Linked DNA regions of Sus scrofa. The protein of the gene in region 2 interacts with the protein of the main gene of each other region in a biochemical or structural test. Links are inferred from orthologs where the notes say so. Each region holds a gene or a part of one and is shown on either strand. Other genes may lie near its edges.

Region 1 (3,983 bases), on a different chromosome or scaffold from region 2:
TTGGATTCTAGCCTCTTTTCACTTACCACGTTAGGTAAGGGGGAAGTGAAATATGTATACTGAATTTAATTAAACTGAAAGAGAAGACTTAAGGAAATCTATGAATGTCAAAATAATTTTGAAACTCGTTATGGGAAGCAATTAAATTTACTTGAAAAGATAACAGATGACGACCTAAGAGAGACATCTGTCCAATAAAAATGAGTATTATGAGAGCTCCCTGATAAGCTCAAATGAGAAGTAATTCTCTAAATATGTTGCAGTTGGACTTCACCCCACTGAGACCTTTCTTCACATCATGATTCATTTAAAACAAGTGGAGATATTTACACTATTTCAACTTCATTGCCACCCAACTTTGTGTTAAGTACACAGAACTGGTGAAAACGCATGACATCCACGAACACCCTCACAATATAGTCTGCTTTTAGTTGCTGATAGTTGAATGAGAATTGCATAATTCTTCTTTTAAAACTGCCTAAGTGCTTGTCAGAGTGATTGAATTAAAGATGATTAAACTTGCTCAACATTTCTGCAAGATGGTGTTCTGAAGAAAATGATGGCCCTGCCTTGAGCAAAGAACAGACTGATACCTTAGGAAGTTTACAATTAAGCACAAACATACAGATTCAGCCGCCTGCTTTATCACAATACACTTTGCTGATAAATCCTAACTGCTGAAAAGCTTAACTCTACTGATAAACACTTCTTTATAATTGTGGTAGGAAACTTGGTCAAGGGTGGGAAAAGGAAAGAACTCAAAGGATATTTGCCATAATTATAACATGTAGCACATAGTTGATGTTCATCTTGGTAGAGTGGTGTGGTCAATACAGCCAATAGAGAGAAGACTTCAGGAACAATGGGGTCCTATTTCATTAAAAAAAAATATATGAAAGTTGGTTTAGAGTACAAAAGCTCAACTGGGTTCTGAACATTTAATAACATTTAATGACCTTGGGCAAATTACTTCACCTCTGTATCTGGATTTCCTCATGGGTGAAAGGTGGACAGTATTATTACCCACCCCTTATGTAGTGTAAGAATTAACTACCATAAGGTTAGTGAATAAACCTACAATTGAGTGAATAAAGCTAAAGTTCATAGGACTGTGTCTGGAACATTATGGAAAGCTGCTTTTTTCCTAAAGTTTCTACCTTTGGAATAAGCAAAATAAGTCCTTTTTGTAAAAGAAATGAATGATTATGTATACTTTTAGCAACATAGGTAACTGATACATAGGAAACACAACACACATTAAATACCAAGTGATCATAAGAGATAATAGGAAACCTGAACATCAAAAGAAGAAACATCAAAAGACCTTTTTTTTAGACCAACAATGAACCCAATGGCAGCGAACTTCACCGCCAGAATGTGTCCATTTTCTCCCCCCACCCCTACTCAAGCTCTACACTTACCTCCTCAAAGCCATACCCCAAGCCTGCCAAAGACCAAAGTTTTGCTACCAAGTCCAGGCGTGGTCCCACTGGGCCCAGCCCCGCCAGCCCTCTTCTCTCCTTGGCTTTGGTCTCTTGGACAGACACCACGCCACCTCTCACTCCCTTACCAGAACGAACCTAGCGTCCGCCGTCCGTCCAGCGGAAAACTCCAAAGTGGGCAACAGGCTATAAAAGCCGAATACTCACCATCCCCACCCCGCCCCCAGCGCCCGCCCGGCCCGCGCCGCTCCCCAGCACGGGGCGCCCACTCCCACCCGGCCCGCCGCCCGGTCACCGCAGTGCATTGCAACACGCGCAGACGCCGCCGGCTGGAGAGGACCCCACCGCGGACTTCCCGGTCGATAATAGCCCCCTAGACTGCTCCCCACGTGAGTGTCATCCCTAATGGAGGTGGCCACGCCACCTCCCAGCAGCTCAGCCCGCGGGAACCACCGAGACAGTAGCAGTGACCACAAAAACAACTCGACCTGCGGCGCAAGGGAGCCAGCTGCCATGGCCCGCCCGGGAGCGGCGCAGCGGCGGCGGCAGCGGTGGCGGGGTGGGGGTAGGGGTGTGGGTGGGGGTGGGGGCTGCGGCGTGGCCGGGCCTCGGCAGGCAGCGGGCATTTACCTGCGCGGCCCCGCGCCCCCGGGCGGGCCATCCTGCCGCAGCCACTCCCGCCGCCCCGCGGGCCAGAGGCGCCGCCCGCCGCCCGGGGAGGCGCCGAGCCGCAGTCCTGGCTGCGGCGCCCGGCACATGCTTCGCGCTCCCGGCGGCCGGCGCCCGCGCACAGGTGGGAACCCCGCGAGTGGGCGTTAGGGCGATTCCCTCCCCCCAGCCGGCGCTCGCCTCCCGTTTCCACTCTTGACTTTGCCGGGTGCGCGGCGCCTGCCCTTGCTCCGGCGGCCAAGCTCCCGTGCCCGCGCCCCGGCGCCGTGGGCGGCTGCGGTCCCTGCGCAGCTGGGGCTGCGCGTCACGGGCATCGCCGCTGCACCGGGCGGCCGGGGGCAACTCGCCGCACCCGGGCCCCGTGCCCACCCTTCGCCAGCCACCCGGACCCCCTGCACTCCCGCGCCCTCCCCCACTAGGGAGCTGTCAAGGAAGAAAACGCCTTGCACACACCTTAGAATGGACGGGCGCCTCAGTCGCTGACTCGCCAAACTCTTAGAAGGTGTCCACCGGTTTGTAGGGAGGTTTGGGCATGGAGTCCGAGCCGCTTTCTTATTATTTAATAATGTTGGAAGTGCCGGGTCCGCTGCCAGAGTTGTGGGTCATGTGGGCACAGCAGAGGCTGGCTGCTGCCAGTACCAGGGTTTCCTGAGGATCCTGAAACTATGATCTCATCCTCCTCATCCGCCTCCCCCGCCCTTCTCTCCGCGGGCGCGCACGCACAGCACACACACATACACACACATGCACACACACGCACACACACGCTCACGCTGCATGCACTATCCTCCTTTCTGGACCGAAATATTCTTTCAGGGAAATACAGTGTTCACTGTCTTCATTGAGAGAAAAAAAAATTTTTCTTCCGGATAAAGATATTTCTCTTTCAAACCTTGATTTATGTGCTTTGTTTATTTCCTACAGTTGGCCCTCACACGTGCAAGGGAGCTGAACAGAGCTTCAGAATTAAAATTAAAAATAATCATCATCTTATGTTGACCCAGATTTTGGTTAGAACCCAAGGGCTCAAACAGTACAATTTTCAATTTAAAACAGAGGCATGGGGGTTTGGGATGGATATGCTATAAAATTTGGTTGTGATGATCATTGTACAACTATGAATGTAATAAAATTCATTGAGTGATTAAAAAAATAAAACAGAGGCAATAACATACCAGGCTTGACTATGGAATAGTAACATTTGAGATGTGTGCAGTGGGTTTCTCTCCCAAGCTGCAAACATTTCCCAAACATTACCTCATTTATTTGCAGAACATCTTTGCAGAGGAGGTGGATGAGAAGGCAACTAGTACTGTCACTTCGGAGACACAGAAACATAGGTCAAATAACATGACTTATCCAAGTTCACGTAAGTCAGTATTTCCCTGTAAATATTAATTGTACAGCTACTCACAGATTGCTAATTCACTAAAATCAATTCCTGGGAACTTAAGGTACTGAAAAATAATGGAGATATTTTGATTATTTTTAAGTGACCTACAATCTAAGATTGAAAATTAATTGATTAATTAATTTTCTATTGTAGTGTTTCCATAGAATATTCTCTTGTATATTTGTGTGTCTCTCCAGTTTCATATTTTCATTTATTTTCTTTCTTTTCTGGGAGTGTTGTACATCTCTGCATGCATATGTGTGTACTCATTCATTTGAGTAGTTTGCACGCCATACATAGCAAATATCAAGCAATTTTAGTCAATGCTTTTGGTATAGTCATTGATTTCATAGTGATTTCTATATTTCATTCAATCCCTTTTCAACTGCCTAGTGTGTATGAAGCGCTGTGCTATGTTTTGAAGGGTATAAAGGAGTTTAATGCATGGAACCTGTTCTCCATTAGTTTACAGCTAATTG
Region 2 (8,199 bases):
TATGCAAGACTTTTAAGCAGAAACTTAGAAGGTGTTCTCAGTCTCAAACTAAATGCACTTATTAACTCAATATGAAAATTTCCAGTTTTCTGCCTTGGAGGAAAGGATTGCATTTAATCCATTGTCGTATCAGAGAAAATTTAATACTTAGATTTGAAAACACCATTGGTATAATGTTAAATAACTTGCATAAAATGATATTTTAGCCCCCATAAATCTCAAGGTTCTCCTTAGAATCCAGAATGAAAAGGGAAGGTTTTCCAGTCTTCTAGTCCTTAGCTCTATCTATTTTTGCAATCACGATGCTGTCATACCAATTACCTAAAACAGAATAAAACTTACACTATAGTACAACATACTTTAGAAACTGTTATCTGTGAAAAGTATTCACTACAATTTCCTTCACAAGGTCTCTGTGGAGAGGAATCCTTACATATTAAGGCAAAGCAAAATTTTAACACTAAAGGTTTTTTTTTGTTTTGTTTTTTTGTTTTGTTTTTTTAAGTACCAAAGTAGTTCTCGTGCAAACAGGCATGATGAATTATCCTACTTATTCAGCATGATATGAACATGTAATTTTCAAGGGTTAGATAAATACAGGCTTCATTACCAAATGACTCCTTAGATACTAAATGGCCAGGAAGAAAATATTTCCAATTGAAATAATTGGCAGTTATGAAATAATGGTTATTCAAAACATCTTCTGATTTTTGTTTTTCCTTATAAAATCCTTAATATCTTTGTCCAATTTGATTCTTAGTTTGTTCTGAGTATCTAATTGTTAGTGGCAATAGGGTATAATTTAAGCCCATTAGCTCAAAGTGAAAAGAGTCCACTTATACTGCACTCTTGTTTTTAATAAACATAGTTAAAATACTAAAGAAATGAGCTAAGTGCTTTTTAAAATAGTCATTTGGCCTAACTTTTATATGTTAACCTTTACAATAGGCTCTTTATAACCAAATATATCAAAAATTTGGTGTAATAATCTCCCATAGTTGGAATTTGGAACAAAATATGAGCCTATTTATGAAAAACTGATCACCAGAAAGATCCTGTTACACCTGACTCCAAGATCTATAACTAAGAATAATCTTCCTTATGCTTTATTTTTTTCTTTTTAAAGTGATTTTTATTTTTCCATAATAGTTGGTTTACAGTGTTCTGTCAATTTCTACTGTACAGCAAAGTGACCCAGTCACACACACACACATACATTTTTAAAAAGCAAAACCTGCTCAGCTAATTTTATTCTGAAGAAAATACCTGATTTTTTTCAGTGTTAAAGAGGTTAAAAAAAAACTTTCATGACACAGATCCATAGGTACACTTTGCTCAATTATTCATACATGATTCTGTGCCAGTAAAAAATCGGAAGATGTGCCAGGAGATGCCAAATGAATACAAACCACACACACATACAAGTCATAAAACTATTCAGAGGTAGTTAATTTACATCTGGTTTAAAAAGATTAACAGCATGGAGCTGTTTATGTTACACTGAGCTATTTCTAACTACAGGAAAGCATACCCAATCAATAGGAGATCAAGTGCCAGTATTTGAGTATCCAAACAAACCAACAAACAAAATACCTGACAGTTGTAAATATACTGTATTGAAATGCTTTTAATTGCTGAGATTTTACTTTTAAGATAGCTGACTTTTTTTTGTTGTTTTGTTTTTGTTGTTTTTTTTTTTTTTGTCTTTTCTAGGGCTGCACCTGCAGTATATGGAGGTTCCCAGGCTAGGGGTCTAATTGGAGCTGTAGCTGCCAGCCTACACCACAGCCACAGCAACTCAGGATCCGAGCCACATCTTCGACCTACACCACAGCTCGCGACAAAGCCGGATCCTTAACCCACTGAGCGAGGCCAGGGATCAAACCCACAATCTCATGCTTCCTAGTTGGATTCATTAACCACTAAGCCATGACGGGAACTCCCAGATAGCTGATTTTTATACCAGAGTGAAAGTTCTGATTGGGGCTAGCCATTCATTTTCTAACAGTTTTTATCCAAGGCATAGAACTCCCATGATTATCGAGGTCATGTATGGAAAGATTAACTACGTACAAGTATTGTCCTTGTTGAAGATGAGTTAAGCATAAGCAGTTGTGAGAGGAAAAATTAAGAGATACTCAAAGTACCACACTATTAAGACTTTTCAAATGATGAATCAAGAACACCTGTATAAAAATCCATGTAATAAAGTATGACTATTTATTAAATTTTTATTTTAATTATCTTTGTATCTTCAATTTTTATGAGTTATACTTTTTAACAGTGTAAGAAACAATATTCAATAGTGCCACTGAAAACAATCATTTTATGTAGTTTATTTTTATAACCTTTGAGGCATTGTAAAATTTACCTTGTCATTTAACTAGGTCTAGGAAAGACTAATATGTGAGAGAAAGTCAGGGGGAGGGGTGGTAGCGGGGAGAATTATTTATTACCATATAACAGGTTCTTAGGTTTGCTTTTTTTTGGCATTACTGTTAGTCCCACCACATTATTTTTTTTCCTGTGCATAGAAATTGGCTACAAAAAGCATTTATTAATAGCAGATGCCCCTTGTGCTTCAGAATTAAAAACAAAATCAAAACCTATAAAAAAATACAGAAAATACGGGTTTCATGAAGGTACAGAAACTAAAATATTCAAAGCAATTTTTTTTTTTATTTAATGGGCTCTAAACCCTTAAAGGTAAGGGCTTATCAAAAAGAAAAAGGTGGGTTGTGAAAATAAAGTAACCTGTTGGACTTACCTACCACTCACCCCATGGGGAGTCTCAGTTCTAATAAAAGCTTAATTTCACAAATGTAAACAGCAACAACAACAACAAAATTCCATTTTAAAGTGACTCAAAAGTAATATCTGATGTGGAATTCAAAGTTATAGAAAGGTCAAATTTTCCTTAGAGATGGATTTAAACTAACCATTTCCACAACACAGGAACCCACACAAACCTAGTATTAAAAATAAATTTGGAGATCTTTTTCTCCTTTTCTCATGCATTGTCAAATGTAGAAGTAGCACAATATAAAAATACTTTGTAGAATTCTTAAATTAACACACTTTACCCAAAATAATACCCTGTTACAGATTTATAGTAAATGCCCTTCTGCATATTTCAGATGATAGCTACAAGGAACTTGTCTAATAAACTGTATAAACAATAGCAATTTTAAAGCTATATATGAAACTATCCAATGTATCTTTTCAAATTGCTATTTTAAGGTAATTACTTAAAACCAATTCTCTCATCCTATGTGTTGAATGAGAAGGGCATTCCATTTAGGAAAGTTTACCCTATTTCCCTTTAAAATCAGAGAAACATGTTAAGTAATGGCATGAGGAAAAGAAGATAAGAGAGATGTTAAAATTGGATACAACTATTCCTCCCAGGCATTGTCAGAGGTACCATTCTTTTTTGACTTAGGGGCACCATTACTTGCATATACAAGTTTACTCCTTGTGAAAAGAAATCCTGCTCTGAACTCCTTTTGGGGAGTTTATAACCAATTTTTGTTTCTTACTCATTTTTGTTTGCTTTCTACTGTGATATTTTCTTTAATTTCTTATCAGAAATACACTTGCACATTAACTTTATGCCTTTGTCTTCTTCAACATTCAACACAATTTTGCTGTCCACAATTTGGTGCATTTCCAAGGGTGAGAGGAAGGGATTCAAGCAGCTGAAACTTCATCCTTTGGTAAAGCTTAACAGCTGCTTCCATTTACAGCTTTAAAGACCTATCCTAGTTTACAAGTGTTTGCACATGTAGGCCAGACTACCAAATACTTGAAGATTCTTTACAAATGAAAGGGCACTGTGGTAACCTGCAAAAACCTTAGACTTTTTATTCCTGCTTCTTTACTGGTTTTCAACTCCTATAGTTATGCTCTGGGCACGCAAACCTTCCTGCCCTGCCCTTCTGACATTTTCCTACAAGTGAGGTGAAACTTCTCAGATTTCTTAACTCAGCACTTGGCCACACCCTGACCAGCAGGCCTTCCCACACCTCCCCACCCCTCTCTCCTCAAAGGCTATTACTACGACAATATTTCTTTTAAATTAGTCTGCTTATTCTTTTACATTTTTAAAATACGTTACCATCCTATAATAAAACCAATATCCCGAGGCTTTCTTGAAAAAAAAAAAAAGAGAGAGAGAGAGAGAAAGAAATTCGCCCACCAGTATCTACCTGACCCAAAAGAAAAACGTGAGTTTCGGCTTTTTCGAGGAGCGGCGCCCCCTCCTCCCTCGGACCCACCCTCCCAAGCTCGGGGGCGTAGTGATTGTCCCCTGCTGCTCCTTCACTCCTCGCCACAACAACTTTCCGAAACCCTGTACTAACTTCTAGGGCACAGCCTCTGCAGAGAGGAGCCGCAACGCTCGACACCCCCACGCTAAAAAGCAAAACAGCAAGGTCCTACCAGCGCGGCTCCTGATGACGTCGGTGAATCCATCTCCAGCGGCATCTTCCCCTGACTGCTCCGGACCCCTTGGCTGAGCCATAGCCACACGCCACGTGCCCTGGCTCTCCCACGCCCCAAACTTTGGAGGCAGGTGGGTCCGCGCGGTCTGCCTGATGCTCTCCAAAGCAGGTAGCGCGCTGGAGATCCGGTGTATGAGGGTGGATTTATCACCTTCCTGGGTCCTCACCCACGGAAATAGGGATGCGTGGGGGTGGGTGGGGTGGAGTGGGGCGGCGGGAAGGGATGGTGAGCTGGAAAACACACAAACACCAACACCTGGCTTGGTGGAAAGAGGGGGCGGTTAAAATGCCCAGCTCATGCTTGAGAAGAGGAAACAGGTGCGATTCCCACTTCCTGCCCCCAAAATAGAGTGGGCGAGGACTGGAAGGTGAAAGCTGAGGAGGGACCCGATGGTCAATAAATACACCAGCAAGTTGGAGACTCGCTTTTCCACGCTGCGCAGAATCGATGCAAAAACAGGAGCAATTAGGGAATCGCTTGCCAAAAGCAGCACATGAGGTCATGAATGATTTAGCATTGCCACTTATAAGATGACTACACTGAAGAGAAGGGTCACTGGCTTTAGCTATCTGGGTCACTCACACGTGTGTACCCCACCATCGTTGTATCCTGACTCTAATGCACTGACAAGAAGTGGGGAATACAGGCTGAGCATAATCATATTTCTTAGGAGATTTCTCCAAAGCTACCCACCCTTCTTTCTGTGTGTAATCACTCTCCCTCCTCCATCCCTTCCTCCCACCACTGAAGCTAGAATTAGATTGGACTATAAACAGCTCGTATGACATTATTTTCTAAAAATTTCAGAAGCTACTTTCATTTGGTTAGTAACCTTACTCCTCCCCCCTACCCCTACACATATATAGTTCATCCTGCATTTCTTCCTGCAGAAGCTCAGTCACCCCAAATCCTGCCCATCACCTACCAAAGACAAATTAACTTTACAAGAAGAGCTTGGCAAGGGGCCTAGCAACAGCTAAGGATTTTCTTTTCCTGTTTTCCTCTGCATTTTCATCCAGAGTAGATTCTTAGCCTCTTCTAAAGCAGGGTTCTCTACCATTGCTAGACAGTGGAATCATCTGGGGAACTTTACAAACCACTAAGGCCTGGTTTCCACTCCCAGAAATGATGATTAATTGTGCTGGACTCTCACCTGGGCATTAACAGTGTGAAAAGCTCTCCAGTTATTCCAATATGCAATCAAGTTTGAAAAACATTGTGATAAAGGGACTTACAGACAGACAATCGGGTGCCTTCATAAAGGCAATTTTATCAGTAACCCTCTTCCATTTCCATTATATTGCCTTAGGTTAAAAACATAATATATTTGCTGTCGTGTTTTCTATCCCCAGATTGGCCTTTTGCATAGCAGTGGATAATTTATGTTGACAAAAATGTTATGCTTCACTCCAAAATTTCCTTAAACATAGAACAACTCTCAGGATGGAGCCTCAACCAGGTATTTCTCAATTAGCATCAGCCTGAGATGTTATGCCTATTGAAAATCTGTCTTTGTCATTATTTACAGGCAGATATTTTATGTTTCCCAAATACTTATTATTATCAGACCTTTCAGTCCTCTTTCTAAAAAGTTCATCAGATGGGAAATATTCAGAGACATAACACAGCTCCTATTTCAGAAAGGAATAGAAGCACAAGAATTGTTCAGAATTTTTTTTAAACACAAAGATTGGGGCACACCCCATTTTATATGATTATGCTACTCTGATCAGAGCAGTAAGGAATTGGTACTGGAATAGACAAAATTATGGAACAGAATAAAATCCAAAAAGAAATCCTGCCAAAGTGGTACACTAAATATATTTCCATTCAGTCATTTAAAATGGAATATATGATAATAGTGTTTCCATAAAGTTAGACTCATGTAATTTAAACTATTTGAGTTTCAGATAGATTAAAAATCCAAATATACAAAATAAAACCAAATGAGGAATCTATAACAGTTTAAGTTTATGGGGGCATTCGTAAACAAACACTAGATTATAAACCTACGAGAAGGACCCATCAGAAATATGATTAGAACTACTTGGGATCCAAAAAATGTGTAAGACACTTAGATTAAACTGATGAGAGGTATAGTTGTTAGAATAACATTCAATTCTGGAAAGGGGATGAGAAAAAAGCTATTCATATTCCACACTGGTGAAATATTGATACATTTTAAGAAAATAACATGAAAATAGCTATTAAAATGTATGTAATCTGTTGCGCATCAATTCGTCTTTTAAGAATCTACCTTACAGAAATAAAATCAGCAGCATATAAGGATATATATATATATATATATATATGTTTTTTTATTGATGCCTTATTTCTAAGAACATATTCACTGAAAACCACCCAAATGTCTTTTAATTGGGAACTCTTTGAAACAATTATTTCAAACAAGGGAATATAATGCAGCTACTTTTTCAAAAGAATATGATTTGTACCATAACCAAGTTATTCTCAAAACAAAACAAATCCAGTGCTATAGTAAAACAACAATATATGTATCACAATGAAGTTCATTTTATTTGGGCAAACAAAGGTTCATTTTAATACCTGAAACCCAGTTATTGTGATTGATCACATTAAAAACACACTGGGAACTATGTCTGGTCACTTATGATGGAGCAAGATAATGTAAGAAAAAAGAATGTATACATGTATGTGTAACTGGGCCACCATGCTGTACAGTGGAAAACTGACAGAACACTGTAAACCAGCTATAATGTAAAAAAATAAAAATCATTATATATATATAAAAGATAAATGCAGAGAAATTATTCAAACATTTAACTCAAACTCACAAAAAGTAAAAAAATACAAAACCTCCTGGTGAACTAGGAATAGAAGGAATGTTCCTTAATCCACTAAAATGTTTGTATAAATTATATCAAATTCTACTTTAATATACTAGTCAGCATAACAAGAAAACAAAGTAAAAGTTATGAGGTTTGGAAAAGGAGAATGAAGTTTTTATTGTTTGCAGGCTACATATACATAGAAAATCCACAGAATCCTCAGATAAAATATTACAATCAATAAATAGATTTAACAAGGTTTCTCGGTGTTATGTTAATGTCTAAAAATTAATTGTATTGCTATAAACTATTTTTAAATGATTTTTAAGAATAATTTCATCAACAAACATAAAATATGTGCAAGAACTCTAAACACATACATAGTATAAATGAGCAAAATTAAAAAATACCTAAATAAATGGAGAAATATATTATAGTCATGGATTGGTAAGATTAAGGTTGTAAAGATGTAAACTCCCCTAAAGTTGATCTGTAGAGTTAGTGAAGCCCCAATCAGTCCCACCAGGAGTGTGTGTGTGTGTAAATTCTAAAATACATGTAGACATAAAAATGGGTCTAAATAGCCAAGAGAATCTTAAGAAGAACAAAGTTGGAGAGTTTTCACTAACAGATAATTACAAATTATTGTGGAGCTATTGTAATTCAAACAGTGTGCTCTTGGTGTGAGGATAGACAAATACTACAATTAACTGAAAGTACAGACTCATATATATAATCACCTGATTTATGACAAAGGTGGCACTATCATTCATAAGGAATGAAAATTCCTCTCAGTAAATAGTGTTGGGTCAGATGGAGATTCAATTTTAGACTTAAATGTAACAACTGTTAAAGGAAAAATAATAAAAATGCCATAGAAGATAACATA

Evidence for each region. The genes of interacting proteins can lie anywhere in the genome.
Region 1: the proteins of DMD (region 2) and DTNA form a complex in vitro, tested with the Homo sapiens proteins (3 studies listed by BioGRID and IntAct, with this or other methods). The link is inferred for Sus scrofa from reciprocal best matches to the Homo sapiens genes DMD and DTNA.

What each region holds. Positions count from the first base shown.
Region 1 is NC_010448.4:118,331,892-118,335,874, reverse strand, and holds the start of DTNA (dystrobrevin alpha), read right to left. Parts: upstream 2,801-3,983; 5' UTR 2,565-2,800; intron 1,832-2,564; exon of another isoform or gene 1,519-1,831; intron 1-1,518. UniProt on the Homo sapiens protein: May be involved in the formation and stability of synapses as well as being involved in the clustering of nicotinic acetylcholine receptors.
Region 2 is NC_010461.5:29,646,047-29,654,245, forward strand, and holds the start of DMD (dystrophin), read right to left. Parts: upstream 4,682-8,199; 5' UTR 4,523-4,681; coding exon 4,441-4,522; intron 1-4,440. UniProt on the Homo sapiens protein: Anchors the extracellular matrix to the cytoskeleton via F-actin. Ligand for dystroglycan.